7 linked regions of the Canis lupus familiaris genome follow. The protein of the gene in region 4 purifies or fractionates together with the protein of the main gene of each other region. This does not show direct contact. Links are inferred from orthologs where the notes say so. Each region holds a gene or a part of one and is shown on either strand. Other genes may lie near its edges.

The links.
Region 1: the proteins of STAT3 (region 4) and HIF1A purify together in Homo sapiens (affinity purification with western blotting; 4 studies listed by BioGRID). This does not show direct contact. The link is inferred for Canis lupus familiaris from reciprocal best matches to the Homo sapiens genes STAT3 and HIF1A.
Region 2: the proteins of STAT3 (region 4) and TRIM59 purify together in Homo sapiens (affinity purification with western blotting; 4 studies listed by BioGRID). This does not show direct contact. The link is inferred for Canis lupus familiaris from reciprocal best matches to the Homo sapiens genes STAT3 and TRIM59.
Region 3: the proteins of STAT3 (region 4) and PTPN11 purify together in Homo sapiens (affinity purification with western blotting; 3 studies listed by BioGRID). This does not show direct contact. The link is inferred for Canis lupus familiaris from reciprocal best matches to the Homo sapiens genes STAT3 and PTPN11.
Region 5: the proteins of STAT3 (region 4) and CEBPB purify together in Homo sapiens (affinity purification with western blotting; 3 studies listed by BioGRID, with this or other methods). This does not show direct contact. The link is inferred for Canis lupus familiaris from reciprocal best matches to the Homo sapiens genes STAT3 and CEBPB.
Region 6: the proteins of STAT3 (region 4) and PIAS3 purify together in Homo sapiens (affinity purification with western blotting; 5 studies listed by BioGRID). This does not show direct contact. The link is inferred for Canis lupus familiaris from reciprocal best matches to the Homo sapiens genes STAT3 and PIAS3.
Region 7: the proteins of STAT3 (region 4) and SP1 purify together in Homo sapiens (affinity purification with western blotting; 4 studies listed by BioGRID and IntAct, with this or other methods). This does not show direct contact. The link is inferred for Canis lupus familiaris from reciprocal best matches to the Homo sapiens genes STAT3 and SP1.

Annotation. Positions count from the first base shown.
Region 1 is NC_049229.1:36,920,436-36,924,310, forward strand, and holds part of HIF1A (hypoxia-inducible factor 1-alpha), read left to right. Parts: intron 1-1,080; coding exon 1,081-1,193; intron 1,194-1,753; coding exon 1,754-1,956; intron 1,957-3,875.
Region 2 is NC_049255.1:26,693,409-26,697,894, forward strand, and holds the start of TRIM59 (tripartite motif-containing protein 59), read right to left. Parts: upstream 3,156-4,486; 5' UTR 2,997-3,155; exon of another isoform or gene 2,935-2,996; intron 2,804-2,934; exon of another isoform or gene 2,648-2,803; intron 2,629-2,647; exon of another isoform or gene 2,230-2,628; intron 2,224-2,229; exon of another isoform or gene 2,071-2,223; intron 1-2,070. UniProt on the Homo sapiens protein: E3 ubiquitin ligase involved in different processes such as development and immune response. Serves as a negative regulator for innate immune signaling pathways by suppressing RLR-induced activation of IRF3/7 and NF-kappa-B via interaction with adapter ECSIT.
Region 3 is NC_049247.1:10,338,320-10,342,194, reverse strand, and holds part of PTPN11 (tyrosine-protein phosphatase non-receptor type 11), read right to left. Parts: intron 2,277-3,875; coding exon 2,082-2,276; intron 1-2,081. UniProt on the Homo sapiens protein: Acts downstream of various receptor and cytoplasmic protein tyrosine kinases to participate in the signal transduction from the cell surface to the nucleus. Positively regulates MAPK signal transduction pathway. Dephosphorylates GAB1, ARHGAP35 and EGFR.
Region 4 is NC_049230.1:20,469,309-20,473,183, reverse strand, and holds part of STAT3 (signal transducer and activator of transcription 3), read right to left. Parts: intron 2,457-3,875; coding exon 2,298-2,456; intron 2,169-2,297; coding exon 2,076-2,168; intron 1,024-2,075; coding exon 964-1,023; intron 1-963. UniProt on the Homo sapiens protein: Signal transducer and transcription activator that mediates cellular responses to interleukins, KITLG/SCF, LEP and other growth factors. Once activated, recruits coactivators, such as NCOA1 or MED1, to the promoter region of the target gene.
Region 5 is NC_049245.1:37,284,404-37,288,451, reverse strand, and holds CEBPB (CCAAT/enhancer-binding protein beta), read right to left. Parts: upstream 2,542-4,048; 5' UTR 2,444-2,541; coding exon 1,403-2,443; 3' UTR 702-1,402; downstream 1-701. UniProt on the Homo sapiens protein: Important transcription factor regulating the expression of genes involved in immune and inflammatory responses. Also plays a significant role in adipogenesis, as well as in the gluconeogenic pathway, liver regeneration, and hematopoiesis.
Region 6 is NC_049238.1:59,314,978-59,319,536, forward strand, and holds the start of PIAS3 (E3 SUMO-protein ligase PIAS3), read right to left. Parts: upstream 2,948-4,559; 5' UTR 2,870-2,947; coding exon 2,846-2,869; intron 2,301-2,845; exon of another isoform or gene 1,665-2,300; intron 952-1,664; coding exon 534-951; intron 386-533; coding exon 301-385; intron 62-300; coding exon 11-61; intron 1-10. UniProt on the Homo sapiens protein: Functions as an E3-type small ubiquitin-like modifier (SUMO) ligase, stabilizing the interaction between UBE2I and the substrate, and as a SUMO-tethering factor.
Region 7 is NC_049248.1:44,804,169-44,808,550, forward strand, and holds the start of SP1 (transcription factor Sp1), read left to right. Parts: upstream 1-1,494; 5' UTR 1,495-1,599; coding exon 1,600-1,606; intron 1,607-2,085; exon of another isoform or gene 2,086-2,493; intron 2,494-2,678; coding exon 2,679-2,833; intron 2,834-3,157; coding exon 3,158-4,382. UniProt on the Homo sapiens protein: Transcription factor that can activate or repress transcription in response to physiological and pathological stimuli.

The sequences.
Region 1 (3,875 bases), on a different chromosome or scaffold from region 4:
GATTAATATACCTTAAATTCCTGATTGTGCTTCCCATCTCAGAATTTTTTAGAAGTTTCATGTTGCATATTTAAGACAACTCCTTAGGCCATCAGAAGTCCTCCATTATTAACAACCCTAATCTTCCCTTTCTGTCTCATTACTCTTCTGCATGTACTTCATATTATAGCATCCTGAACTATCTACTGTTTCCTTTTTTTCTTTTTTCTTTTTTTTTTTTTTTTTTTTTTTATGATAGTCACACAGAGAGAGAGAGAGAGAGAGGCAGAGACATAGGCAGAAGGAGAAGCAGGCTCCATGCACCGGGAGCCTGATGTGGGATTCGATTCCGGGTCTCCAGGATCGCGCCCTGGGCCAAAGGCAGGCGCCAAACCGCTGCGCCACCCAGGGATCCCTATCTACTGTTTCCTAAACATGTGTTCTCTTTTCCTCACCTCTATGCTTTTCATTTTTTTTCCTTCTCACCATTTCTTAGTTCTGTAAGGTTTGGAATGGGAGTAAATAGATCTGATTTTATTTCACTCTAGTTTTGCTTGGAAAAGTCATTCAGTATGTTCATTTTATTTGCTTTGTTTTTTTCCTCTAGTAACAAAGTAGAAATAATGTCATGCCTGCTTTACAGGAAGATTTAAAGAAAAATCAGATAAATAAAAATGGTATTTGCTTTGAAAAGAAAGTTGCTGATTTAAAAGTTCTATAAATATAGGGAATGCTTATTATAAATTGAGCTAACACATTTAGCAAAGGTTTAGAGGAGTTTGCTGCAGTCTTTTTTGGGATGTGCTTGTAAACTGGTAGCACAATTACAAGGCAAATTTATACCACATTTATGTTTCTTTGTAATTTTGCCAACTTCACAAGCTTGAATGTGAAATGATTAACTGCTGTCTGAAACCAGGGAATCATTGGGAGTTGTGAACCCCAGTTAGTGATTGAATCATGTTAGATCTCTTGAATGTGTTGGAGTGTGAATCATTATTCATGCTGAGACTTATTAATTGAATATAGCACCTTTGTGCTACTCTGTGACAAACTTAAAAATTTAGTTTTTAAATTTTATTTCATGCTTTCATTCATTAGGCCTTGTGAAAAAGGGTAAAGAGCAGAATACACAGCGAAGTTTTTTTCTCAGAATGAAGTGTACCCTAACTAGCCGGGGGAGAACTATGAACATCAAGTCAGCAACATGGAAAGTAAGTAAAAATGACTTGTGAGTAGTGATGTATATCCCAACACTACTAATACATAAAATAGCATTAGAATTGTGAGGGAAAACTTACAGTTATTTATTAGCATTTGCTGAGTTACCATCCCAAACTAGAAATCTCTCTTTGAGGCATGAACTTAAATTGTACTGAACTAACTTAATCAGTTGGCTTTGCCACCCACTCAGTGTTTGAGTCTTGATATAACTTAATTTTCTGTTTATTATTTCATTTCTTTGCTCAGTGTTGCAACATTCATTGAAGTAAGAAGTAACAAAATAATAAACAGCCACTATGATGAAATGAATGAAAAATCAGCCCAGATTTGTCTGAAAGAAAATTTTTAAAGAGTATTTTATGGTGCCTGAGTTACATGAGTGGTGTTACCCAGGAAACATTTATTGATTTCAAAGATATGGTTAATCCACTAATGACAATAAATTTTATCAAAGCTTATCTGCTGTGTCACACTTCAGATGTTTATCTCTGCATTTTTTAACTAGCATATTATGCTTTTTAAAAAACTGCTTTGTTTTCTTTGTACATAGGTACTTCACTGCACAGGCCACATTCATGTCTACGATACTAATAGTAACCAATCTCAGTGTGGGTATAAGAAACCACCCATGACGTGCTTGGTGCTGATTTGTGAACCCATTCCTCATCCATCAAATATTGAAATTCCTTTAGATAGCAAGACTTTTCTCAGTCGTCACAGTCTGGATATGAAATTTTCTTATTGTGATGAAAGGTAAATAATATATGTAAAATATAACTTGAAAATTTTAATTAGTCCCTAGCGTATTTTTTTTTTACCATTCACTATAATAAAGACTGCGAATGCTTCCTTCCACAAAGTTGAATAGTGATACATTGTAAAAGTCAGTAATACTAGATTAACTTTGTAGATTAATTCAGCTGCATTTATCAAACACTTACTGTGCACTATGAATACTCTATCAAGGTGCTATCAAAAATCATAATGATGGGGTCATTTTCCTTTAGGGCTTCTAACTTATTTAAAAAGAAACATATTTCAAAGATACAATGCATTATTTGGGAAAGAATAAAATACTTTTGGTTATGGACTAGAGAGGAAAATGTTTGATCATCTCCTTACCCTACATATTACCCATGATTTATTTCTATTGCCTTTTCCCAAATTTATGTCCATATTTATTTTTAACTGCAAAGTTGACATTTTATCTGGATAATCTTCTATATTAATAAACTGAGTATTTCTATAATTGAACTATACCACTATTGCCCCAAAACAACAACTTTAAAAATTGCGCTGTTTTAATAATGCTGACATGGGTAGTATACCACTGTAGATACATAACTCCTGCAAAAATTTGGAATTTATCCTTAACTTTTGAAGATTTTATCTATTTATTAATAAGAGACAGATCGAGAGAGACAGATGGAGAAGCAGGCTCCCTGTGGGGAGCCCAATGTGGGACTCCATCCTAGGGCCTGGGATCATGCCCTGAGCTGAAGGCAGACGCTCAACCACTGAGCCACCCAGGGATCCCTCTTTTACTTTCATCATCTGTACTCAATTGGTCTCTAAATCCTATAGATTTACTATCTACATATATCTCTTGGTCCATTCCCTCCTTTCTACCCTTGCCTTCCTGCCGCTGAATTCTTCAGCTCATTATTACAACCTTTGGCTCAAATTTTTGCCATAATCTCCTAGGCTGCCTCTCTGCCAAAAGATTTATGCCCTTTTAATCTCTCATTTACATCACCCAAAAGTGGACTTCATTATGTGAAAATCAGATAATATCATATTACTGTTGAAAATGTGTCAATTGTTTCCCTTTATCTTTACACAGAAAAAACTTGGGTTTATAAAAATATTAGAGGAGGGCAAGGGATTTTCTTTATCAAAAGATGTACCTTTTGAAAAGCTGAAAGAAAAATGGACCTCTACAATAAAACCCAAACTTCTTAGCATGGCCAACAAAAATATTTATGATCTGGCCCCTGACCACTTCTCTAAATTAATCAGGAAGAGGGGATTACTCTGATGTCCCCAACATCCTACAGCTGGAGAACACCACATGCTAACTTGCTGTCTTAGTTCCTTTACACACATTTTCCCATTCAGCGATGAAGTTTTCTTCAATTCCTAACACACATTTATCTTTCAAGAGCCATCTACTTCTTTATGGAACTTCCCTTTATCCTTCAAGAAACTATACTATTCATTGTGCGTACATCTGTCAACATTTTTTCTACTATTGTAATTATTTGCTTGTCCCATTTTTTTTTTTTAATGTATGCCTGTGTAATATAGTAACTGAAGGCATAGATTCCACAGCCAGACTACTAAATCCTGACTTTGATGCCTATATCCAAATGATCTTGGCACATCAGTTTCTTCATCTTTTGTTTTCTTTTTATTTATTTATTTATTTTTTATTCATGAGAGGCAGAGACATAGGCAGAGGGAGCAGCAGGCTCCCTATGGGGAGCTTGATGTGGGACTCGATTCCAGGACCCCGGGATCATGACCTGAGCTGAAGGCAGTTGCTCAACTACTGAGCCACCCAGGTCTCCCAGTTTCATCTTTGGTAACACTTTATGTAGGGTCAACTTAAAGATTGTATGAGAAAACCAATTTTAAGCACTTAGTCATGATACAAAGTAGATAGGAATCCC
Region 2 (4,486 bases), on a different chromosome or scaffold from region 4:
TGCAAATCGTTTTGAAAACAGTATAACATGATTCCAAAATCTAACAAAGACAAACTAAAAATAGACTAATTTCAAAAATGGACACTGATATAAAATTCTGAACACGGTATTAGCAAAAACAGATCCAGAATACATCAAAAGAATACAGTACAAAAAAAAAAAAATACAGTACAATGACCAAAATGAGGTTCTTCCCAGAAATGTAAAATTAATTTAATAACAAAAAATTACTCAATTAGGTCAATCGAGAAAAACTGTATGATTGCAAAAGATATGGAAAATGCGTATAATATAAAAATTAGTAAGCAACCCACAAAGACAGAAAGTGAAATGGGGCTAGAGGGAGAGGAGATGGAGAGTTATTGTTTAGTTCTAAGTTTGGGAAGATGGAAAATGTTCTGGAGGCAGATGGGTATTTACAGTTGCACAATAATGTGAATGTACTTAATGACAGTAAATTGCACACTTAATGGTTATAATAGTATATTTTATGTCTAATTTCAAAATAATAACTTTTTAAAAAAAATTTTAAGTGCCTTGCCTATTACCTTGTCTTTCCTCTGCCAAATTAATTGTAGAATCAACTTTCATTATCTTATGTTTTTAGAAAGCAAAGAAGTAAAATAAAAGTCACCCATGTAAAATGCTATTTTCCTCTGGTGAGTACTAAAAGCCCAAGTAAACATTGATAATTTATATCAAGATTTCCTGTTATCCTCTTTAAAATCCTCAAGATATGAATATAAAAAATAAATCTGAGGCTAATCATCCACTTATAAGTTATTTCACAAAATTCTTGTGTTTAAGTGTCAAAACAAATACACTTCTGAATATCTAAACTTTTTATATAGTCTTTCTCCAGAAAACGGACTTTCTACAGAACCTCCACCACTATGTCTAACTAGATAGTACTGATTATAGATTATGGAGAATTAAACAGTACAAAAAAAAAAATCATTATCCATTCTACTACAGAGTAGTGTGTAAACTATTTTTTAAGTTTTAATTCACCAATAATGCCTTTCATCTCTAAACATGAATAGTAATAAAACATCCATTACATTTTACAACCTCTGAAGAAAATTATGTTTACCACATTATAGAGTTAAGTGACTTGCTCTAGGAGTTACAGTGTGAGTCAGCTGAAAGTCTGGGAAAATTCTGATTGGGTCTCACATCTTTGTGGCCCTAACTGATATACAGCACATTTTATGCGATTCAAGATTACTTTAGAAATACTACAACTGTACCATCCATATACATAAGGCAAGATTTTAAAAATGCTTTTGTATGTATAAATATACAAAAATTTTGTATGTATAAATACTTTGTATAAATATACAAAAATAATGAAGGATCACCATAACTTTCTTTTTTTTTTTTTTAACTTTCAAAAAAAAAAATCCTATGGTCAGATAGGACTTTAAGTCTGTCCATTTGCACGGTACTTGCATCCTGACATCAATCTATTTCCCCAAACTAAGAAAGAAACTACCTATGTGATCTAACCAGGAACTTGTGAGAAATTCAGGTGTTCATTGCTTTTTCTTCAGTATTTTTCACAGTGAAAATACATTCAGCAATATGTTTGCTGAAAGGCAATGTTAAAACTAACATTATCTAAAAATCAAAATTTCACCTTGCCAGACTGAATTATGGTACCTTCCTTCAAAGGATAGCTACACAAGTCATCAAAAAAATAAATAAATAAAAAATAAAAAATAAAAGAAAGCAAATCAGTACGTAAATACATAGTAAAAAGGTAGCCAGGTAATTTAAGTAATAAATGCAACCTGCAGGTCTGTATGTATAAAATGATACCATTTGTGTGTTCAGATGCACACAAATCCTTGTAAAATTTCTTAAAGGATATACAAAAGTGACTAACTGCAAGGTATAAGTCTGATGAGGGAGCTGTTTTCACTTCATGCTCCGCTCAGATGGCTTGAATTTTATACACCAAACATGTCTTTTTTTCAGATTTAAAAGCCCCATCTTCCACTTTAAACCATTCACTTGGAAAATTTACCACGAACTTCTTTTGTATTCACTTAATCTTTCAGAGCTTACCTACTTTGTTGATCTTCCCCCTTGGCGACTGAGTATATTCTCCAACTTTTTCAGTTTCTTTTATTCGTATTCTAAAATTAACTTTATCTTAATGTTTTAGATTTACATTCTCAAAAAAAAAAAAACATTAAAATGACATCACAGGAATAGCTATCTCACCCTTGGAGGTTTATCTCCCCGTGCCTCATGGCGTTTTTACAAAAATGGTGACAGGTATCAACAGTTGTTGGTGCGGGCGAGGTACCACTTGTACACTGCATATCCCAACAAGCCTGTGACCAAATAAATTGTCACAAAGGACCTCTTTTTTGTAGCGTCAAGTTATTTTACGAGCTCTTGAAAATGTTAGCCAACAATGGCGATGACGGAGCAAACATTCACGCGCACTTTTGACTTAGTAAAAGTTAACTTGAGGACCAGAACCATCCACGGCAGTGAAAGATCTTGCCGGAGTAAAATGATAAACACCGACTGAGGTTATTCCCACCAGCACGTCGGTCCACCTCTCAGTTCTGCCACTGAGTGTTGTGGGACCCTGGGTCGGTGTGTGCTAGCGCCTCTCTAGCCGCGGTTTCACCTGTAAAATGGGCACCGTCCCTGACGGGCTTCGCCGCACCAGCCCCCTTCCTTCCCTCTCCGAGGCGGAGGGCAAATCCCCCCGAGCCTCCTCCGAAGGCGCCTCCACCGGAGCCCGCGCGAGGGCGGACCCACGCCGGGCCGGCCTGCTCACAGAAAGCGGCTCCACAGCTGAGGGAGGAAAACGGCAGCCCGCGAACTCCTCACACCCGGACGCGCCGGCACGGGCGCAGCACCCAGGCCGCCCCCTCCGTCCTCGCGCACACGCGGCATCCCAGCCGGGCTTACAGGCGAAGAAGAGGGGCCCAGAGACGGCTTCTCGGACCCGAGGAGATGCTCCCCAGACTCACCGCGGGGACTCCGACACCGCCCTCCTCCACAGCCCGAACAGTCTACGGGCCTCCGCACGCCGCGTCCGGGGGATGCTTGGCGTCCCCGCCCTCCTCCGCCCCGAGGGAGTTCAGGTGCCCAGACGGGGCGGGGCCTCGCGGAGCCCCACGGCGCAGGCGCAGTCTCCGCGCTACATTCAACTGCGCGGCGTCAGCCAATGGGAAAGAGCGCGGGGCAGCCGTTCAAAAGTAAACGGCCGGCGGCGCCTGCGGGGGCGGGGCGGGGCGGGGCGGAAGGGCGGGGCGGGCTCCTGGCCGGGGGCCCGCGTCCTGCACCTGCGCACTAGCCGCCGGCCGCCTCTCGGAGGCGCGGGGGGCGCGCGGCCCGAGGCGCTTCCGGAAGCCGCGGCGTTCGGATGGGCGGCCCCCGGGCGAGCGAGCGGGGTGGGCCCGGCGGCGGCCGACGACCCCTCCAGGAGCGTTCCGCAGCCTGATTTTCTTCCTGGCGCGCAGCCGGCAGGTGCGGGTTCCCACCTTTACCTCACAGGTTCCGCCGCGGGACGTCTCCGCCGGCCCCGAGGGCACACGCACCCCGGCGGCGCGCGCGTCCTCCCCGACTCCGAGTTTCCTCGTGGGGGCGAAATGCGGACGCCTGGACCGGCCAGAGTACGTGACGGGGTGCAGGGGAGGGGGCCTCTGTTCTCTACAGTTTTGGGGAACGTCCTCCGTGGCAGCTGCTGGGACCTCAGGACCCTTCAGGAGCATCCCTCTCATCTCCCTCCCTCCTTTTCCAACCTGAAATGATCACCTAGAGATGACCCCTGTTGCTCAAATTCCTGATTTCTGATTCAGTCTCTTCGCCCTGTTTTTCACCTAGTTAAACCCCCTAGAATCAGAAAACAGTTCAGTTGTCCTTTTCCCTTTTTTTTTTTTTTTCTTGAGAAACTTTATCCATCTGTATCAAGATTCCTCACACTTTCCATCTCTTACCTATACTGGAAAATCCTTTAACGCTGTGCTAAATAGAACTGCGCCTTGGTATGCGGGATATTGCCAGTACCTTCAGGTACTAGTCTGCTGCAGTAAATTATAGAAAAATAATGAACGTGACGTGAAACAAGGTAATATCAGTGAGTCCTCAGTCCATTTCAGATGTCCTCGCCAATTCAAGTTACTGAGAACCTTGCTTAGAATTTGTGGATTCTGTCGATATCCCAAGATTCCCGCTGTGACATGATGGTACAGATCCATTTCGGCTTTCTTATGCGTATACATTTTCTTAAACATTGGATTCATCCTGATAGATTTTTAATTTCCTCTCAAAGTAATACGGATATCTTTCCATGGCAGTAAGTGCACTATACCTATCTAAAAATTATTCTCTTAAAAAAAAAAAAAGTGAACCAGTGATGTTACTATGGATATTGGGTGATTGTGAAGTATCCATGTAGATTCCTCCCTTGTAATCAGTGTACTGTTGCAGGACCTGTGGAATGCAAAGGCCCAGAAAG
Region 3 (3,875 bases), on a different chromosome or scaffold from region 4:
AGTCATTTAAAGAAATTAAAATACTGGCGCCTGGGTGGCTCAGTCAGTTAAACATCTGCCTTAAGCTTGAGTCATGATCTGGGGGTCTTGAGATCAAGCCCCACATCTGGCTCCCTACTCAGGAGAGGGTCTGCTTATTCCTCTGCCCCTTACCCCCCACTCCCTGCTCGTGCCTTCTCTCAAGTAAGTAAATAAAATCAGAAAGGAAGAAAGGAAGAAAGGAAGAAAGAAGAAAGAAAGAAAGAAAGGGAGGGAGGGAGGGAGGGAGGGAGGGAGGGAGGGAGGGAGGGAGGGAGGGAGGAAGAAAGAAGAAAAGAGAAAAGAAAAGAAAAGAAAAGAAAAGAGAAAAGAAAAGAAAGAAAAGAAAAGAAAAGAAAAGAAAAGAAAAGAAAAGAAAAGAAAAGAAAAGAAAAAAGAAAAGAGAAAGAAATTAAAATAAGGTGGTCATGGTAGAAACAAAAAAATCGGGCAGCCCGGGTGGCTCAGTGGTTTAGCACTGCCTTGGGCCCAGGGCCTGATCCTGGAGACCCGGGATCGAGTCCCACGTTGGATTCCCTGCATGGAGCCTGCTTCTCCCTCTGCCTGTGTCTCTGCCTCTCTCTCTCTGTGTCTCATGAATAAATAAATAAAATCTTAAAAAAAAGAAAAAGAAAAAAAATCATTTGAATGTTTGTCCTTGCTTTGGTATGTGAACATTACATTAAAAAATTTTCATTATAAATTAATTTAAGCACTCCAAATTCCTTAATATTTCCAACCAATACTTCAACAGCTTCCAAGTTTGCTGTCAGTATCTTTAGACTGTATGCTGGGTTATCATTTCTAAAGCATATAATATTTATGGAAAAGCTGAAGGATTTTGCTAAAAAAATGAATTCCCATGCCGCCCAACCAGAAATAGCAATATACTACATTTGAAAGGAGCCCAGCAATCTGCATTTTTACCCAGTACTCGAGAGTCCTGATGCGGGTCACGAGAGGACAGATTTTGAGATATCACTCTAGGATACTATAAAAAAACATTTTAACAGGGCATCTGGCTGGCTCAGTCAGAAGAGCCTGTGACTCGTGACCTTGGGGTCATGAATTCAAGCCCCATGTTGGGGATAGAGATTAAATAAATAAACAAACAAACTTTTTAAAAAACCTTCACATAGTTATATTAATAATGTGGCTTTTTCCCTCAGGATCTTGATAAGAAAGCAAGCACTAACTATCATGGCAGATAGTGCTAGTGTAGTGGCTCATCACTAGAGGAATATACAGTGAATTGTTTTTCATCCACCCTCAAATGAACAGAGTAAAATTCAGAAATAAACTGAGTTGGCAAACAGCCTTTTGCTTGAAGTTATAGTATAGCTAGAGAAATTATCTGCCTGTAACAGCACTGACATGAAGATGCAAGTTGAAGAGACCTACCTGAAGATACAAAATATACAAACCTAATTAAGTAGACCCTGAGTTTGTACTGAGTCAGAGAGGAGAGTGGGAATGTAGAAAACCAATAAAATCAATAAAAATAAGTCAAGTCTCAGCTTTCATCAGCTTAGTTCCAAATCAAGCGAAAGATGATCTCAGAAATAACGTAATTCCCTCTAAGCAAGGTCATTCTCCCACATTTGTGGATATAACAGAACAGAACTGATGAAAAATCTGACCCTCTGCAAGCTCTGACTTTCAGCTTCTGAGCTTAAACTGACATCTGTTGGTGGCATGGCTGAATAGCTGATGGGGAGCTGCTACAGGGAACTGCTGCTGTTTGGGCGCCTCCATTAGCACTTATTTTCCTCTCCTAATTCTTAAAGATTATGGGCTCAAATTCAATAATCTTAAAATTACTGCATGTACCAAGTATATACAGGAATAGTCTGTGACCCCTGCAAAATTAAGCATAAGGAATGTTAATCGAAACTTTCACCAGAAAAAAGGCACTCTGAAAATAATTTCATCCTATGATTCTTGCTTCAGTAAAACTTACTTAGTTGCAAAGATTACAACTTGAGAAACAGGTAAAGCCAAAGCCCCGTAATGCATTCGTAGAACACCTATGGCATGGAAGAGGTGCATTAAACATCACTGACCTTTCAGAGGTAGGATCTGCACAGTTCAGAGGATATTTAAGCTCAATAACATCTCCATTCTTCTCTTTTAATTGTCCGTGATGTTCCATATAATACTGGACCAACTCAGCCAACGTGGCAAACTTTTCCCCTCCATACAAGTCATAGTAATCACCAGTGTTCTGAATCTTGATGTGGGTGACAGCGCCATTTCTTCTAAAAGAGTCCATTAGGGGGAAAACAAAAACTAATAAAGAGCTACACTAGTAAAAATGGATCTCACATTTTATATCAGATTTCACCTAAACATTGAAACATACCCAAGGAGCCAGTTTACAAGTCAACCATTTCAACACAAAGGCTTTGTTGCCTGGCTCCTTTCCCTTGTACAACTTCTATTTTGGAAGTCTGACCGAAATGCATATATTAAGTGGCAATAATTTTTCTCATCAGTAATTAATCGAGACACATAAAGTTAGGGATGCCTGGGTGGCTCAGCGGTTGGGTGTCTGCCTTCGGCTCAGGGCATGATCCTGGAGACCCAGGATGGAGTCCCACATCAGGCTCCCCTCAGGGAGCCTCCTTCTCCCTCTGCCTGTGTCTCTGCCCCTCTCTCTGTGTCTCTCATGAATAAGTAAATAAAATCTTAAAAAAAAAAAAAAAAAGACACATAAAGTTAAACATCTATTTTCTAATCCAGTAAAACCACTCATAAGTATTTTGCACCCCCCCCCCCAAAAAATGAAACTGTATAGCTACCCAAGGACTTGTAGAAGAATATTATTGCAGCTTTATTTGAGATAGAAAAATCCTGGCAACTCAAACATTTATCACCAAAATGGACAAATAAATAGTTACATATTCAGACCACAGAACACTGCACAGCAATTAAAAAAAAAACACACTGATACATACAATTACATGGATAATCTCAAAAACTTTACGTTAAGAGAAAGAAACCAGGGGTGCCTGGCTGGCTCAGGAAGGGGAGCATATGACTCTTGGTCTTGGGGTTGTGAGTTTCAAGGCCCACGCTGGGTATAGAGATTACTTAAAAATAAAACCTTTAAAAAAGAGAGAGAGGGCAGCCCGGGTGGCTCAGTGGTTTAGCGCTGCCTTCAGCCCAGAGCCTGATCCTGGAGACCTGGGATTGAGTCCCACATCGGGGTCCCTGCATGGAGCCTACTTCTCCTTCTGCCTGTGTCTCTGCCCCCCTCTCACTGTCTCTCATGAATAAATTAAAAGAAAAAATAATAAATAAAAATAAAAGAGAAGAGAGAGAGAAGCCAGACACAAATGAATATATACTGTATGACTTCAATTGTCAATGAAATTGTAGAATAAGCAAAACTAGTCTACAGGGTTTGAAATGAGAACAGTGGTAGCTACGCAGAAGGAAGGAGATTAGAAATGGACACAGAGGAATCTTCTAGAGTGATAAAAATATTGTGACTGTACTGTTGGTTACATATATAGTTGTCAAAATTCATGTCATGGTGCACTTATGATACTATATATAATTGTACCTTAAATAATCACTTTAAGAACAATTGAGGGATCCCTGGGTGGCGCAGTGGTTAAGCACCTGCCTTTGGCCCAGGGCACGGTCCTGGAGACCCGGGATCGAATCCCACGTCAGGCTCCCGGTGCATGGAGCCTGCTTCTCCTTCTGCCTGTGTCTCTGCCTCTCTCTCTCTCTCTCTGTGCACTATCATAAATAAATTAAAAAAAAAAAAGAACACAATTGACAGTTTCCAGCATAAAATGGCTAAAATGCTATCCTACTGAGTTGACAAAACATTGACCAAAAGTTTC
Region 4 (3,875 bases):
ATTAAACATATAAATACATCTGATGGACAACAAAAAATAAAACATTAATTTATCATTCAAATCCTCCACCTCCCCCTCAGTATCAGGTTTTCCCATAATTAATTCCTAAATAATCCATCCTTTACTCAGTGATTTGAGATATCACTTTAAACGTATATTAATTCTTTCTATAAATTTGAAGTCTATTTCTGGACATAAGGTTTTGTTTTAATGATCAATCAATTTATTCCTGCCCTAGTAACACACTCATATAGTAACTGAAACTTTGTGATACATTTTAGTATCTGGCAAGGCATCTTCCTACACCATTCCTATTTATCTTTATTCATTAAAAATTTTTTTTGAAAGTGGAATGGTGGTTGCTAGGGGCTGGGAGGACAGGGAAACAGGAATTTGTTATTTAATGGTTGGAAAGTTTCCATGTTGCAAGATGAAGTTCTGGAGATCCGTTGCACAACAATGTGAATATATGTAACACTATACACTTATAAATGATTAAAATGGTAAATTTTATGTTAAAATTTTTACCATAATTTTAAATAAATAAATAAATAAATCCTTTAAAGAAACAATGTTTGGCTATTTTTCTCATCTAAGATACAGCTTGAAGAGCAAGTCAAGAGTTAAGAAATTCTATACGTATTTTGCTTATGCCACATTAACCTTCTCAAGAAGGATCAACATCTTTATAATAAAAGTCTGCAGGTAAAAAATTAAAGAAAAAGGAGGACCCAGGGTCACAATAGCAATCACAACTCATATCTGTACCACCAGCTTTGTGGTTTTTTGTTCAGGCATGCAAATGACAATGAACTGCAAGACTTTTGAAAACTTCTATTCAAAAAATGAAGATCCCCAAATGGAGATAAAGCCTCTAAGTTCACATGATAATTATCCAAGTTCTCATTTCTGTCCCTCATTTGAAAAAAGAAAAAAAAAAAAGCTAACATACAGAGTACTTACTTGTCAATGCACACTTTAATTTTAAGCTGATAATTTAACTCCGGGAATTTGACCAGCAATCTATTTCAAAAGAAAGTGGGAGGGAAAGTTTTTGAGTAAAGAAAAAAATATATCAGTTTTAAAAACAAGTCAATAGGCTCCACCACTAACTCCTACTCAAAGGAATACAGAATTCATAACCCTTCATTTCTAAAAGGTGAATAAAACACAATCCCAGATTCCTCTTCCTACTAGTGACATCTTTGACCTTACACTGAGTATCACCCCTTCAGGCCCATTGTTACTGATAGAAAGCGTAAAAACCACAAACTTGGACAAAGTTGTATGAGATTTACAAAAGGATAATGAAAGTCGTTTCATGAGAATTATTACAGGAACACGCGCTCTGCAGCTGGTATGCTTTCTGTTAAGCCTGAAACCTAACACCCAGTTTCTAAAGAGGGAAATTTCACTGCAGAAGACCAAACCCCAATATACCTGTCCTGACTTGGGTGTGAAAGTCACACCCCACCCTGCAGGCCCACCACCCACCTGCTCTATGGCCTCTTAGCTTCTATATCTCGATGCCTTACTCTTTCCCCTAAAATTCGTAGTGAAAAGTAGGCACCAAGGATAGAACATAACCAGCATTAGTATGCCTCTGTTGCAGGGATGAAGGAGACACAATGGCCCAAGACTATAGGCCTGAAATTGTAGGAATATATTCATGTAACCTCAAAAAGAGGTAATCATTCCTTAGCTTTTGACAGGAGAATTAAGAAGCAAATTGATACGATATTATGCCAGCAAATTCCATACCCACTATACTACCACCCGTGAGGCCTAGAAAGGAAAACTCTGGCCATCAACTCGGCTCTCATCCTAAGAACATCTCTCAATAAAATATCCACCAGGGACACCTGGGTGGCTCAGTGGTTGAGCGTCTGCCTTCAGACTAGGGCATGATCCCAGAAGTCCCAGGATCAAGTCCCACATCAGGCTCCCTGCATGGATCCTGCTTCTCTCTCTGCCTATGTCTCTGACTCTCTCTGTGTGTCTCTCATGAATAAATAAATAAATAACATTTATTTAAAAAATAAAATATCTACCAAAAGAGGAAATATGGGGCCCACCTGACTTTGGTAGTGAACTGGACGCCAGTCTTGATGACTAACGGCCGGTCAGGATGCATGGGCATGCAAGGCTGCCGCTCAACCACAAAGGCACTGAAAGGCAAAGAGGACAGCAGTCCACATATACACTCTGCAGTGAACTGGTTTTCGTTCTACGCCTCAAAGCAAAGGAGGTGGTGGGGTGGGGAGCGATGAGGGAAAGGAACCGGAATTCGAAGTTACCTTTTCATTAAGTTCCTAAACAGCTCTACAATCCTCTCCTCTAGCATTGGCCGGTGCTGGACGATGGGATCCCCTTTATAGGACACTTTTTGTTGTAACTCCTCCAGTTTCTTAATTTGTTGGCGGGTCTGAAGTTGTGACTCTGCTAATGAGGTTATCCTGCCAATAAAATGAGAAAGCTACCAGTTACTAAGTGAGTGCACACCGGTGAGCTGGAGAAGGGGAAGGGAAGCCCACAGATATAAACACCACCATGTAGTCCCTTCGGATAAGAAAGGGGGAATTTTTTTTTTATTGTGGTATAACGTAACATTTATCACTTGTGAGTGTATCATTCAGCAATATCAAATAAAAAATGGGGGGCACCTGGCTGGCTCAGTTGGTAAAGCATGTGCCGTCTGATCTCGGGGTTATAAGTTCAAGCCCCATGTTGGGTGCAGCGCTTATGTAAGTAAGTAAGTAAATAAATAAATAAATAAAAATAAGAAATAGGGATTTTGTGTTTTAACAGTTCCTTCTTAAAATTTAACATTTCAAAAAGAGCTGGCATAGAGGAAGAAGTGTTAAAACTTATATCCCTAAGAAGCAGGAATAGAATAATCATCAGAAAGTGACAAGAAAGGGTACCTGGCTGGCTCAGTTGGTTAAGCATCTGTCTTTGGCTCAAGTCATGATCTCAGAGTCCTGGGATTGAGCCCAGGGTGGAGCTTCCTGCTCAGCGGGGAGCCTGCTTCTCCCTCTCCCTCTGCCCTTCCCCCTCGATTATATTCTCTCTCTCTCCCCCTCTCTCTTAAAATAAATAAAATCTTAAAAAAAAAAGAAAGAAAGTGACAAGCATTCAAACTCAGGTATGGAGAACATGAAATATGAAATGTGGTACTGCCTTTATCCTAACCCATCCTTGTACCAAAATGTGGGAAGTGTAGGCAATTAGACATCCCAAGAGGATGGGCTTGAGCTAGCTCTGTCACTTACTATCTGTGTAACCCTGGCCACGTCCCTTTGCAGCACAGGTCTTCGTGTCCCCTTGCATGACAGAAGAGGTTGAAGCGCATGATTAATAAACACTAAAAGACCTTGAAGAGAGAAGGCAGAGATGTGGGGGTGTGTGGAGCATGAGGAGGAACAGGACAGCTGCTGAGATTTCTGGGTTCCCCAACTCTCTTTTGCCACTTACATTCTCCCATTGCCAGAACTTAAGCTTTCTGGGTCCCTGACCAGAAAACACTTAACACTGCTTTAAGTGAATTAACAAAATTCAGGGTTAGTGAGGATATGAACAAACAGGCTTTCTCATGTAGGGCTGTCCTAAATTTCCAATGTCATGCTTTAAGTCTCTAGGTGCCCCTTTATGTCAAATTTCTCATAGTTCAAGCCCATGCATCATGCACATTGCTGGGCCTTGCACATCTGGATGCTCAGCTCACTAAAGATCTGCTGCATAAATGAAAGCAAAAGAGCAGATAAAGAATGATTCCACTAAAAAAAAAAAAAAAAAAAAAGAATGATTCCACTGATGTGACAATGTAGAGATGACCATCTTTTTTTTTCTTTTTTTAAAGATTTAACTTATTAATT
Region 5 (4,048 bases), on a different chromosome or scaffold from region 4:
CCCACACCTCCCTCCACCTGGCCCAGCTTCTCCCCTCAGGCAGGCCAGGGACACACAAACACAAGCTCGCCCACACACCCAGGCTCCTCTTAAAATAAATATATACACACACACAGTCTTTTTTAAACAGCCCGCCCAACTACACTTACCAAAAAGAATCTGCTCCAACTTGGGCTCAGCAAGACCAAGACCCATACGCCCTCTTCCTACATAATGTGGCCTGCTAGCCGGATCCCCCAAACACCGGACCCTACAGAGGTCACAGACGTACAGGTCCCTCCCTCTAAACTCAAGCCTGGCACTCGGGACAAGCCGACCTCTTCCCAAGCAGGGTTCCGGGTCACTCCTCCCCAGCACTCAGGGGCGCTGAGTCACCCTGAGAGCCCCAGAAACCTGGCATCCCCCACCTCCAAGCACAGACCCTGGAGGGAGCAGCAGTGGAGGGAGGACCAAAAAAAAAAAAAAAAAAAAGCACACACACACACACGACACAGCTGTTAACACCGCCACCCAACCACCAAAAAACCCCCAAAATAATAGAAACCCCCCAACACACAACAACCCCACCCCCCCCTACCCCCCCACACACCCCCATCCAGGAAAGCACATCTAAAATCATCTAAACCAAAAAATAAATTAAAAAAAAAAAAATCGAAAGCCAACTACTGCCCCCAAAAGGCTTTTAACCATTCTCCAAAAAAAAAAAAAAAAAAAAAAAGTTTATTAAAAGTGTTCTTAATGCTTGAAACGGAAAAGATCCCCAAATATACAGACGCCTCTTTTCTCATAGAAATAGATTATTTTTTTTATAATACAAAAAAAAAAAAAGGACCAAAAAACAACAACATCAACGACATCAACAACAACAACAACAACAACGCATCAACAGCAACAAGCCCGTAGGAACATCTTTAAGCGATTACTCAGGGCCCGGCTGACAGTTACACGTGGGTTGCGTCAGTCCCGTGTACACTCGCGTTCAGCCATGTTCGAGCCGATTGCATCAACTTCGGAACCGGCCCGCCCGCCGGCGCCCGGAGAGGAGGCAGGGGAGGCAGCGAGCCTGTCACTCATCTGTGCACATAGACACGTCTTCTTTAAATAACACCACGGGCGGGCGCCCCGTCTGCATGTGCGGTTGGTTTGGACAAAAATATAGATATATATATATATATAATAAAATATTAAAATTACCGACGAGCTCCCCGCGCCGCCAAGCGCCCCGGTGCCAAAGTTTCGCCGGCGCCCCGGGGGCGGGGGCGGGGGCGGGGGCGGGGGCGCGGGTCCCCGCGGCGCGGCCGGCAGCGCGCGGGCAGGCGGGCGGGCGCGCGGGCGGGCGGGCGCGCGGGCGGAGCGAGCGGGCGGCCGGCCGGCCGGCGGGGGGCCGCGCGCGGGGGCCGCGCTAGCAGTGGCCGGAGGAGGCGAGCAGGGGCTCGGGCAGCTGCTTGAACAAGTTCCGCAGGGTGCTGAGCTCGCGCGACAGCTGCTCCACCTTCTTCTGCAGCCGCTCGTTCTCGGCCGTGAGCTCCAGGACCTTGTGCTGCGTCTCCAGGTTGCGCATCTTGGCCTTGTCGCGGCTCTTGCGCACCGCGATGTTGTTGCGCTCGCGCCGGATCTTGTACTCGTCGCTGTGCTTGTCCACCGTCTTCTTGGCCTTGCTCTTGACCTGCGAGGGCGCCGGCGCCGCCCCCGCGTAGCAGGCGGCCGGGGGCGCCTTGGCGTCGGCGGGGCTCGGCGTGCCGGGCGGGCTGGACGACGAGGACGTGGACAGGCTCCCGCTGCTGCCGCTCGGCACCGCCTGGTAGCCGAGGTAGGCGCGCAGCGCGTACGGGAAGCCAGCCGCCATGCCTGCGGCGCCGCCGCCCGGCGCCCCGGCCTCCTCCTTCCGCTTGCAGTCCGCGGGCTCGAAGCCCGGCTCCGCCTTGAGCTCGGCGGGCTGCGGCGGCGGCGGCGGGGGCGGCGGGTGCAGGGGCGCGAAGCAGCCGGGGTGCAGCGCGCCCTTGGCGGCCCCCAGGCGCCCCAGGCTCACGTAGCCGTACTCGGACGCCTTCTTGCAGTTCTTGCCTCCGTAGTCGTCGGAGAAGAGGTCGGAGAGGAAGTCGTGGTGCTGCCCGGAGGAGGCGGGCGCGGGGGCGGGCGCGGGCGGGGCCGCCTCGAAGGTGTCCGTGGCTGTGGCCGGCGCCGGGGCCTGCGGCGCGCCCAGCGGCTCCAGGTACGGGCTGAAGTCGATGGCGCGCTCGTGGTCGCCGATGCTGCCCAGCTCGCCGGCGGGGGGGCGCGGCCCGGGTCTGGCCGCGGGGGGCGCCGCGGGGGCCGCCTTGCCGCCGTACGCAGCAGCCAAGCAGTCCGCCTCGTAGTAGAAGTTGGCCACTTCCATGGATTTAAAGGCGGGCGGCGGCGGCAGGGGCAGACATGCTGGGTCCCAGGCCACCAGGCGTTGCATGAACGCGGGTGCCCGGGGAGGGGGCCTGGGGCTGCCCGCTCCGGCCGGCCCGCAGGTGGCGCGGCCTCCCGGCTCCGACCGTGGCCGCTGGGTCGCCGCCGCCGCCGCCGCTGCTGCCGCCGGGGGGCCGCTGCCGCCGGGGGGCCGCTGCCGGTGCGGGGGCTGACGGCTGGACCCTCGCGTGGGTCCTCTTCCCGGTCCCGTGCGCGGCTCTGACTCGCTAAAGTTTCTCCCGAGCCCGGTTATTTATAAGGCGACCCATGGCAACGGCTGCGTCACGCTGGCAGCCGCCCCGGCCCCTCCCGCCGCCGCCGGGACGCGGGGTGGCGGCCCGAGACCCCCGCGAGGGCGCCGGCGGGGCCCGGCGGCCCGACCCGAGAGCCGGGGCGCGCCCTCGGGGGGTCCGCGGGCCCGCGGGGGGGCGGCCTGACGCCCCCTGCCCACCCCCACCCGGCGGCGCGGGGATTGGGAGCGAGGAGGGGCGGCGCGACCCCGCCCCCGGACCGCCCCCTCCGGGCTGGAGGCCGCCCCGGGGGGGCCGCGGGGAGGGGGCAGCGCGACCGCCTTCCCCCTCCCGAAGCACGGCCGCCGCCCGCCCCCTGCTGGAGGCGGCGGAGGCTTCGGGACCCGCCGAGCCCGCCCGGACGCCCCACGGAGGAGGCCGGCGCTCCCCAGGCCGGATCCCGGAGACCCCGGCCCCGCCCCGGCCCCCCGAGAGGTGACCCACCTGCACCGTCCTTCCCCCGCGCGGCCGGCCCCTCCCCGCCCCAAAACTTGCTCCCAACCCCAGCCCTCGGAAGGAGGGGATTCCACGCTGGGGGAGGCCCCCCGCCCCTCCTAAAGGCACGTCTAACGCAAGGACCCCGGTGGGGGGCACTTCGGGGGAGAGCCCCACCGGGACCTCGGCCGCGGCGACTGCGCCGCCCCCAGCCCCGCCCACCGGCCCTGCCCGCCCCCTTAGACCACACCTGGGTCTTCTCTGGCCCCACCCGACCCTGACCTGGGCCCAGGGAGGTGGAAGGGGGTGGGTGGGGGGTGCTCGGCGGCCACGCTGCGTGACCTTGGGCGAGTCACTTCACTCCAAGCTCCTTCCATGAAAGTGCTGTTACGGTTATTATTATTAGTTGTATCATTGTCTCCACCACGGACTCCCAAACAGAAGGCTTAATTTAAGTTTGAGGTCCACTCTGGGAGGCACATCAGAAAGAAGCCACCTCCCTCCCACAGGGTACAAAGAAGCCCGGGGGGGGGGGGGCATAGGACACCCAAGGTCACAGGGCCTCATGTCCCCCACTAGTCTTAAAAGCTCTTATCAGAGCACCCTAAGACCTTTTTGCCAACCTGAGGTCAAAAAAAAACTATTTCTGAGGCTGGGGGTGGGGGTATCAAGCCAGACCCCACTGGGAGCCATGCGGGAGAGAGAAGGGACATCCCCCCCGTTGTTACCAAGTCCCTACTTTGTGTTGAGGGTAGGCCTGGACCCAGACTTTTTCCACCCTGGCAGGAGGATGCTTTTGCTACTCCTGGTACGCAGATGGGAAAACGGGCCGTGGCCCGTCCTGGATTTGAACGCTGGGCCGAGTGGGCTCACGGCGCCCCTTGCCC
Region 6 (4,559 bases), on a different chromosome or scaffold from region 4:
ATCAACTCACCTGAGCTGCACCTGGATAGTATAGTCACATTTAGCTCCTGGAAGAACCTCTCTATGACAGGGAGGAGAGGGAAACATGTCAGGATGTGGCCCCCAGAGGGCCAGGCTGAATAGACAGAGAAACAGTTACGTGTCCCAGAGATAGAGAAGAGATGCACAAGAGAATGAGAGATGACACAGGTGCAGAAGGATGGACAGGCAGGAGACGAGGACAGACGAGAAGAAAGGCAGAGAGCAGAGTCCCGGGATAACCACCCCAGGTCAGAGGTAGGAGGGTGGGAAGAGAGGTACCTGGATGTGAGAATCTGCTGCACTTGCTGGGGTGTGAGGGCAAACGTAAAGTGTGCCTCTTCAAACCGCTGGCTAGAAGTGGACGCTGAGGATACAAAGGAGCAGTTACTCCTGAGCCCATGACAGGCAGCCACAGACGCTACCCCCATCCCAGGCCACTGATCCCACAGGACTAAAGCCCAAGGCTTGGGCAAGAGGTAAGATTCAGGAAGATGGAGGAGGCAGAGCCATACCGAGGGTGGTGGGCCGGATGAGCTCCCCATAGACTTCATAGAAGGGCAATGGTTTCATGGTAACATCAGGGTGCACAGGCTGGGGCAGAGGAGGGTGCATGTCCACCTCACGCTTGGGGCCCAGCAGCGTGCCAGGGGCCAAGAGGGCAGGGGGAATGGGAGTAAGAGGGCCAGGGGAGCCGACAGGAGGGGGGCCAGGGGGCAGAGAGAGGAGGGAGAGATCAGAGGGGCCCAGGGTCTTCCGGGGAAAGCGTCGGCGATAAAGCTCCTTGATCTTCATCTGGACGCTGGGGGCACAGCTGGACTTGAGCAGGTGCAGGGCCTTGGCCAGGAGTTCGTGCTTTCGTCCACTCTTGTTCCGGCCAGCAAAGCCCAGCAGAACCTGAAGCTCAGACACCCGGAAGCTCATCACCATGTGCTGCAGAGAACAGAGACATTTGAGAATACTGCCAAAGAGGCAGTGCCTCCCCCGCCCCCCTCCCCAAGAGAAATATGCTTTGCAGCCAGTGATTACAGCCGGACAGCCAATCTGGCCAAAGGGACATCTCAGTCCCATTCAGCAGCCCTCAGGTCAACCTTACCACTGCCCCCCCCCCAGAGCCTGAGTAACCCTATCTCCCCGTGCCTGTAAGCTGGCCAGGTGGGGCAGGGTGCAGGCAGCAAGCCATCCACAGGCACACCTCCGAGTCCACTGTGGCCTCCTACTTCCAACCCTGCCTTGAGCCTAGACGCTCCTTTAAGCAGCTTATCTCCTCTCCTGCCCTTTCTCAGACTCTCAGACCCAACCCAGCCTCCTGGAAAGAGGGTAGGAGACAGGGAGAAGGAGGGGGAGAAGAGGAATCAGGCCAGACAGCCCCACAGGGAAGAAAGGGGGCAGGTGGCCAGAGGATTGTGCACCATGGCACACCCCTCCCAACACTTCAAGCCACCTCAGCTATTTTCCCCAAGCCTCTGAAGCGTCTGTGGCCAGGGTTTTCAGGTCAGGGTTCAATGCTTGTAACTTCCCCCCAAATCCTTTGTAAGCATCAACACCTTTCCCTCAGTCCTATTCTTCTAGGAGATAAGCGACCAAAACTTGGGGCAAAGGGGTTCATAGTAAATCACCCAGTCCAGGGTTACTTTCTTGTTTACCTGTTTACTCCATCTGCCAGGAACTAATATCCTGTTTCTCTCCTACATAGAGAAAATAAGTAATCCCCCCCCCCCCCATAGCCGTGGGAGAGGAGAGGGCTAAGCTGTAAGCAGGGGCCCTGGGGAGATGAGAAGGCTGGGGCGCCTTCCCAGCCTGGGGGCAGACCTGCAAGTTCTCCTGGGGCAGCTGGACCCAGGGACTAGCCCGCCAAAGACTACGGCTCCATTTCAAAAGGCAGAACAAAGCCAGGAGGCAGGGGGATGAACCCAGTGGTTTTTTTAAGGTTCTGTGAGATGTCCTCCGATAGGGGTACCCTCAAGCCTGTGTGGCAGTAGGCGGGCACCACACGCTCGCTCTCTCGCAAAAGGACACCCTCCGTGACTCCCCGGGAGCCCTGTCACGGGCGGGCTCTGCCAGCCGTCCACGAGTCGCCCCCTCCCAGGAGCCTCCCTGGCTTCGGGCCCCTTTTGAGGAATGCGGTGAAAAACTGGCCCATCTACCTTTCTCCCACCCTCATTTCCTCTGTCCGGTTTTCAGTTCTCCGTTAGCTTTGTCAAGAACGTCCCCTTTCCATCCCACAGCCTCACACTCCTGTACCTAAGCCCAAAGACCGATCCACCAGGGCAGCGGCTTCCTCGCCGCCCTCGAACCCGCAGCCCGCGCGGCCCCGCCCCCGGGATCTCCGCCGCCCGCGGTGCTCCCGAGGCTCGGAAGCCCGCGGCAGCCCCAGAGCTGCCATCCCCTCGGCGGCACCGCGCGGGCGCCTCCGCACCTCTGCCCGCGTCCCAGCCCCGCATCTGCCCCCTACTGTCGCGTCTCGCGGCCTCGGTGACTCGCCCCCCGCGCCCCCGCGGCAGCTGGGACCTCGGCCTTCCTCGGGCACCCGCCCCGACCACCGAGTCCGACCCGTACCCCCGCGTCCCCGCCCCCTGCGCCTCGGCCCCCGACAGCGGCAATTCCCCTCGGCCCCACCCCTGCATCTGCCCCGCGGCCCCGCCCCCGAGCCCGTGGCAGCCCGGTCCGCTCCCGCCGCCGCTCGGCTCCCGCTCGGGCAGCCGGTCTCCGCCACGTCTCCGCGCCCCCCGCCCCCGCCGAGCCCTCGGCACCCGGGCTCGGTCGCCTCCCAGACTCGGCGTTCCGCGGGCGCAGTCCACACGGGGCTGGGGGAGGGGGCCGGTACCTTTAACTCGCCCAGCTCCGCCATCTTGAGACATCGCCGGCGCCCGAGCCCGAGCCCGAGCCCAGGCCCAGGGACCGGCGCGCAACTCCCCACCCCGGCGCCCGCCGCAAAGGCCGCCTGCTCCGCCCCGCCCGGCCCCTGCGCCTCCCCTCCCGGCCCCGCCCGCCCGGCTCCGGACAGGCCCCGGCCTCGGCCCCTCCCTCCGCCCGACCCAGCCCCTGCGCGGCTCCGGCTGGGGTGCCAGAGCGGAGGGTCCCCGGGGGTGAGGAAGGGGAGGCGGGCCCGCAGCGCCCGAGGGAGGGCTCTGCCACGCCGGGACTGGGAGGGGGTGAGCTTTTAGAGAGCCAGAGACACTTGAAATACGGGGGGAAAGTAGCGAGAACTGCTCAATCTTAGAGAAATGGGGGAGGGGTGGCGAAGTTGGAGCAGACACCGTCATCTCCTCCTCGACGAGTTTAACCAGCTCAAGTCAAGAGTTCTACCAACTCGGGGAACGGGTGAGATCTGACCCGCTTCGGAGAAGCTGTGCAGTGGTGACGGTCAGGACGGCTGCTCTCGATTCCTCGCCCCCCACCCCCACCCCCACCCCCACCCCCACCCCCCTCCCGGCCAACCAACTACAGTGCTGCCTGGGGTCCCGCGGCAGGACTCAAACTCCGCAGCAAAAAAGTTTGGTGCGACGAGCGGGACTTACCAGCACAGCTGCGGGGAGCGGGGAGGGGGCTCGGGAGGCTCGGAGGGTGGGCCGGGGAGGTGGGGGGGCTGCAAGGCTGGAGGTCGGTCGGTCCGGCAGCTGGACGCTGCAGCGGCAGCTCCGCCCGGACGCGAGCTCCGCCCGGCCCGGCGCTGGGGCTGGGGCCGCCCCCTCCGGGTGAGCCCGCCAGGACCGCGGAGGCGGGGGCGGGGGCGGGGGCGGGGTCGGAAGCGGGGAGGGGAGGGGCTCCGAGACCCGCGCCCGGAGCTTAACTCCTTGAAAGGGTGCGTGAGCCAACGGGTGGGAAGGGAGGACGTTCTGGGGACTCAACCTGCTCACTGTTGCTCCGGCCCCTTGCGCTGCTCTGCCCGCCCGGCGCGATCATGCTGCGAGGAAGGCCGGGCCGACTGGGATTTGGCCGCCTGAAGAGGTTCCTACTTGGAACGAGACTCCTCTCCCTGGGGGAAAGCCTGGGCTGCTAGAATCTAAAGTGGACCTAAGCCCCAAGTCTCCCTGTGGTCCCTCACCCCCTACCCCAAATACTCAGACCGTCGCCGGAGACCCCACGCCTTTGGTGGGGCTGAAGGTGAACAGAGGGGAGGTTTTCTTCCCAAAACAGTCGTCTTTCTGCCCGTCTATGAATTGCCTACTTTTCTTCCAAAGCCTTTGCCCTTCCAGAGACCCCATTCTCTTTAAAATAGGGATCCCTGGGTGGCGCAGCGGCTTGGCGCCTGCCTTTGGCCCGGGGCGCAATCCTGGAGACCCAGGATCGAATCCCACGTCGGGATCCCGGTGCATGGAGCCTGCTTCTCTCTCTGCCTCTCTCTCTCTCTCTCTCTCTCTCTCTCTCTCTATATCATAAATAAAAGATAATAATAAAATATATATATTTACTTATTCATGAAAGACAGACACAGAGGGAAAAGCAGGCTTCCTGCCGGGAGCCTTATGCGAGACTAGACTCGATTCCCGGGGTCGCAGGATCATGACCTGAACTGAAGACAGATGTTCAACCACTGA
Region 7 (4,382 bases), on a different chromosome or scaffold from region 4:
AAGGCGGGACTCGACCCCGGGACCTCGGGGTCACGCCCTGAGCCGAAGGCGGACGCCAAACCGCTGAGCCCCCCGGGGATCCCCGGGATCCGGACTTTAAAGCGTGACCCCAGGTCACCAAGTGCCGCACTGAAAATAATTTAGTGACAACACGAAGATACCAGGAGGGGCCGCAGGGAATGACCTCCGTGTCATTGACGACTCACCCAGGCCGCCTCCACCAACACCAGGGGAGGGGGGGGAAGCGAGGTAGAACGGGAGGTGCCAGAAACGCAGGTGTCTGAGGGGAAAGTGTCCTGTGACTTTGGTTACAAAGGCCCGCGCTCTCCTCCTGCCGTCGGACGGGGTGTGTGGGGAAGGAGAGGCAGGAAGTGGCTGACAGGACGCGGACTCTGGGAGGTCCTCCAGGCCCAGCTCTCGAGAAAGTCAGCGCCGCGGAAGGAAGCCGCCGGCCGCCGTCTGCGGGAGAAGTCGGGAAGATGGCGTCCGCCGGAGTCGCACAAAAGCCCTTGCGGACGGTCGGCGCGGGGTTGGCCGGGCGCGCGCGCACCCACAGGGCCGACACCCACACTCCGAGGCGCCCGCCCGCCCGTCCGCCCACCGCGGGGAGGGGGACGCTGGGGGGGCCCCCGAGAGAGCGGCCGGCGGGAGGCAGAGCCGCGCTCCGCCCGTCTCGACCCTGACACTTGTTGCGCAGCACGGCCCCACCGAAGCGCGCCACCTAACCACTGCAAAGACGTCCCCTGAGGAGGGCCAAGATGGCGGCGGCCTCCTCTTGGCACAGCCCTGCTCCCTCCCCCGCGACGGGCGGCTCTGGCGGCGCCCATTGGCCCCCCTGGGGGCGGGGCCTGGCCCCCTTCGCCGCCTCATTGGGCGGACCGACTGAGGGAGACGCCGCTTCTCCTCGGCCCACCCCAAAGTCCCGCCCCCGGAGTGCATTCGGCGTTCAATTGGCTTCTCGTTCACGTCAATTTGCGTCCCCGCTTGTCTTGTCTCAGCGTTGGCCCAATCCTAACTTTCCTGGCTGCCCGCCTGATTTCTGATTGGCTGTGGTCGGCTTCATCCTATCCCATTTCGGCCTGCTTCTTACCCCCTCCCACCGGGGACTTTGCCCAGGCATGTCCGGGCTTCTGGTTGGCCGATGTTCTGTCATTCCAACCTAAGCTCTCCCTATCCCCACCGTTCAGGGAGCCCGCCTGGCGGTTGACTGGCTCCCTCCCAAGCCTGTCATCACTAGCTCCCGCCCACCCCCACTTCCTGCGCCTTTCATTGGGCCTTAAAACTGAGAGGGCGGCCTCCCTGGGCGGACACCAGGCTCGCAACTTTGTCCTACACGCCTTAGAGAGCCAGTGAGCCTTGCCATTGGATGACCCACGCGTCTTTCTTCCGCAAGTCCCGCCTTTCTCCCTCCCTCATTGGGCGGGGCAGCAGCGAAGGGGCGGGGCCTAGGCCGGGCTTGTGGCGCGCTGCTCCCTCCTCCTTACCCCCCCCCTCCCTGTCCGGTCCGGGTTCGCTTGCCTCGTCAGCGTCCGCGTTTTTCCCGGCCCCCCCCAACCCCCCCGGACAGGACCCCCTTGAGCTCGTCCCTCAGCTGCCACCATGAGCGGTAAGGATGAGTCCACTCCACGCTTAGGGGTGGGAGGGGAATGAGGGGGCGCGCGCGAGGGCCGACCGGGCGGTCCCCGCCGTGAGGGGGGGCGGGCGGGAGGCGGCGGCGGCGGCCTTGGTCCCGCCCGGGGCGGAGGGAAGGGAGGGAGAAGGGGCAGTGGCGGGGCCTGCGAGAAAGCGGGGGATGGGCCGCCCGCCCCGGGGGAGGGGGCAGCGTGGCCTCGCCCGCCCCCTGCCCGCCCCGGCCACGGGGGACGGGCCTTACCCCCCACTATTCGGCCGCCCGCCTGAGGCTCCTCCCGCCGGGGGCTGGAGCCGCGGGGGCGGCCCGAGCAGTGCAGGCCCCGCCCGGGCCAACCGCCTCCCCGGTCCGCCCTCTGGTCGCCGCCTGCCCCAAGGCCCTCCCCTCCCCCCGTAGGTTTCCCCTCCCCCCCACCGTCCCGCCCTTTCCACGCCCCTCACCCCGAAACCGCCCTTTCCTTCCAGGGCCCGCCCTCTGTCCGCCCCGAAACCTCCAGATTCGTAACCCCTGGACCCCGTAGCCCCTTAGCCGTATCCACAAATGTTTCCCCACTCACACTTTTTTGTTTTTTCTTTCCCCTTTGCCCCTCTTCTCCTCGTGCTGCTTTTTACCCTTGAGTTTTTCTCTTTCTCTATATTCTTTGACCCTAATTTTAGCAAGCTTTCCATCCACCCACATGTTGTTCTTTGCCTTACCTATCCCTCTCCTTTTTATCCCCAGGATACTTTTTTTTATTTTGAAACTCTTTGAACATGTCCATCGCCCCTCACATTTCCTATACGAAAAGTACATTTTTAATGTTTCCTGGGTGTAATTTTGTGCCAGGGAAGAATTGAGGCCCAGTTTCAGCACTGCTAAGCCAAGTCTGTGTTCTATGTGTCCTACAATTGCCCTTTCCTCAATCCACTTTTTTTTTTTTTTTTTTTTAACGCTGGTGCCTTTCACCTTACTGTTAATTATTTGTTTCATCATAGCGTCCTTTATCCCTCCTAACCTTACCCTTTTCCTTCCTCCAACTCTAAGTTGTTTATCTTTTAATTCTTTTTAGACCAAGATCACTCCATGGATGAAATGACAGCCGTGGTGAAGATTGAAAAAGGAGTTGGTGGCAATAATGGGGGCAACGGTAATGGTGATGGTGCCTTTTCTCAGGCTCGAAGCAGCAGCACAGGCAGTAGCAGCAGTGGAGGAGGAGGAGGGCAGGTAAGTGATAAACCAGGGCAGAGTAGGGGAGATGTCTAGAGAATGTAAATATTCTTAGATTATTGTCTTTTCACAGAAACGTTTTTAGGAAAGCGCTAAACCATTTTGTAGCTAGGGAAGTTAGCACAGAGAGACAAATGATTGGGAGATCTCCAGAGATGAGGATTTCAGCAGTATGGATAGGTCAGCTTTTTGTTTCAGGTTTTTTTTTTTTTTTTTCCCTCTCTTTGGCTGCAGTTTTGCTGTTTATTTGTTTTAAAACTGCCCCCAGGGCTGGCAGCTGGGTGTCTCTGACTCCTATCCTCTCCCTTATTTTCCGGCCAGGAATCCCAGCCATCCCCTCTGGCTCTGCTGGCAGCAACTTGCAGCAGAATTGAGTCACCCAATGAAAACAGCAACAACTCCCAAGGCCCAAGCCAGTCAGGGGGTACAGGTGAGCTTGACCTCACAGCCACACAGCTCTCACAGGGTGCCAATGGCTGGCAGATCATCTCTTCCTCCTCTGGGGCTACCCCTACCTCAAAGGAACAGAGTGGCAGCAGTACCAATGGCAGCAATGGCAGTGAGTCTTCCAAGAATCGTGCGGTCTCTGGTGGGCAGTATGTTGTGGCCGCCACCTCCAATTTACAGAACCAGCAAGTCCTGACAGGATTACCTGGAGTGATGCCTAATATTCAGTATCAAGTAATCCCACAGTTCCAGACCGTTGATGGGCAACAGCTGCAGTTCGCTGCCACTGGGGCCCAAGTGCAGCAGGATGGTTCTGGTCAAATACAGATCATACCAGGTGCAAACCAACAGATCATCACAAATCGAGGAAGTGGAGGCAACATCATTGCTGCTATGCCAAACCTACTCCAGCAGGCTGTCCCCCTCCAAGGCCTGACTAATAACGTACTCTCAGGACAGACTCAGTATGTGACCAATGTACCAGTGGCCCTGAACGGGAATATCACCTTGCTACCTGTCAACAGCGTTTCTGCAGCTACCTTGACTCCTAGCTCTCAGGCAGTCACTATCAGCAGCTCTGGGTCCCAGGAGAGTGGCTCACAGCCCTCCACCTCAGGGACTGCCATCAGTTCTGCCAGTTTGGTATCATCACAAGCCAGTTCCAGCTCCTTTTTCACCAATGCCAATAGCTACTCAACAACTACTACCACCAGCAACATGGGAATTATGAACTTCACCACCAGCGGATCAGCAGGGACCAACTCTCAAGGGCAGACACCCCAGAGGGTCAGTGGGCTACAGGGGTCTGATGCTCTAAACATTCAGCAGAACCAGACATCTGGAGGCTCTCTGCAAGCAAGTCAGCAAAAAGAGGGAGAGCAAAACCAGCAGACACAGCAACAGCAACAAATTCTTATCCAGCCTCAGCTAGTTCAAGGGGGACAGGCTCTCCAGGCCCTCCAAGCAGCACCATTGTCAGGGCAGACCTTTACAACCCAAGCTATCTCCCAGGAAACCCTCCAGAATCTCCAGCTTCAGGCTGTTCCAAACTCCGGCCCCATCATCATCCGGACACCAACAGTGGGGCCCAATGGACAGG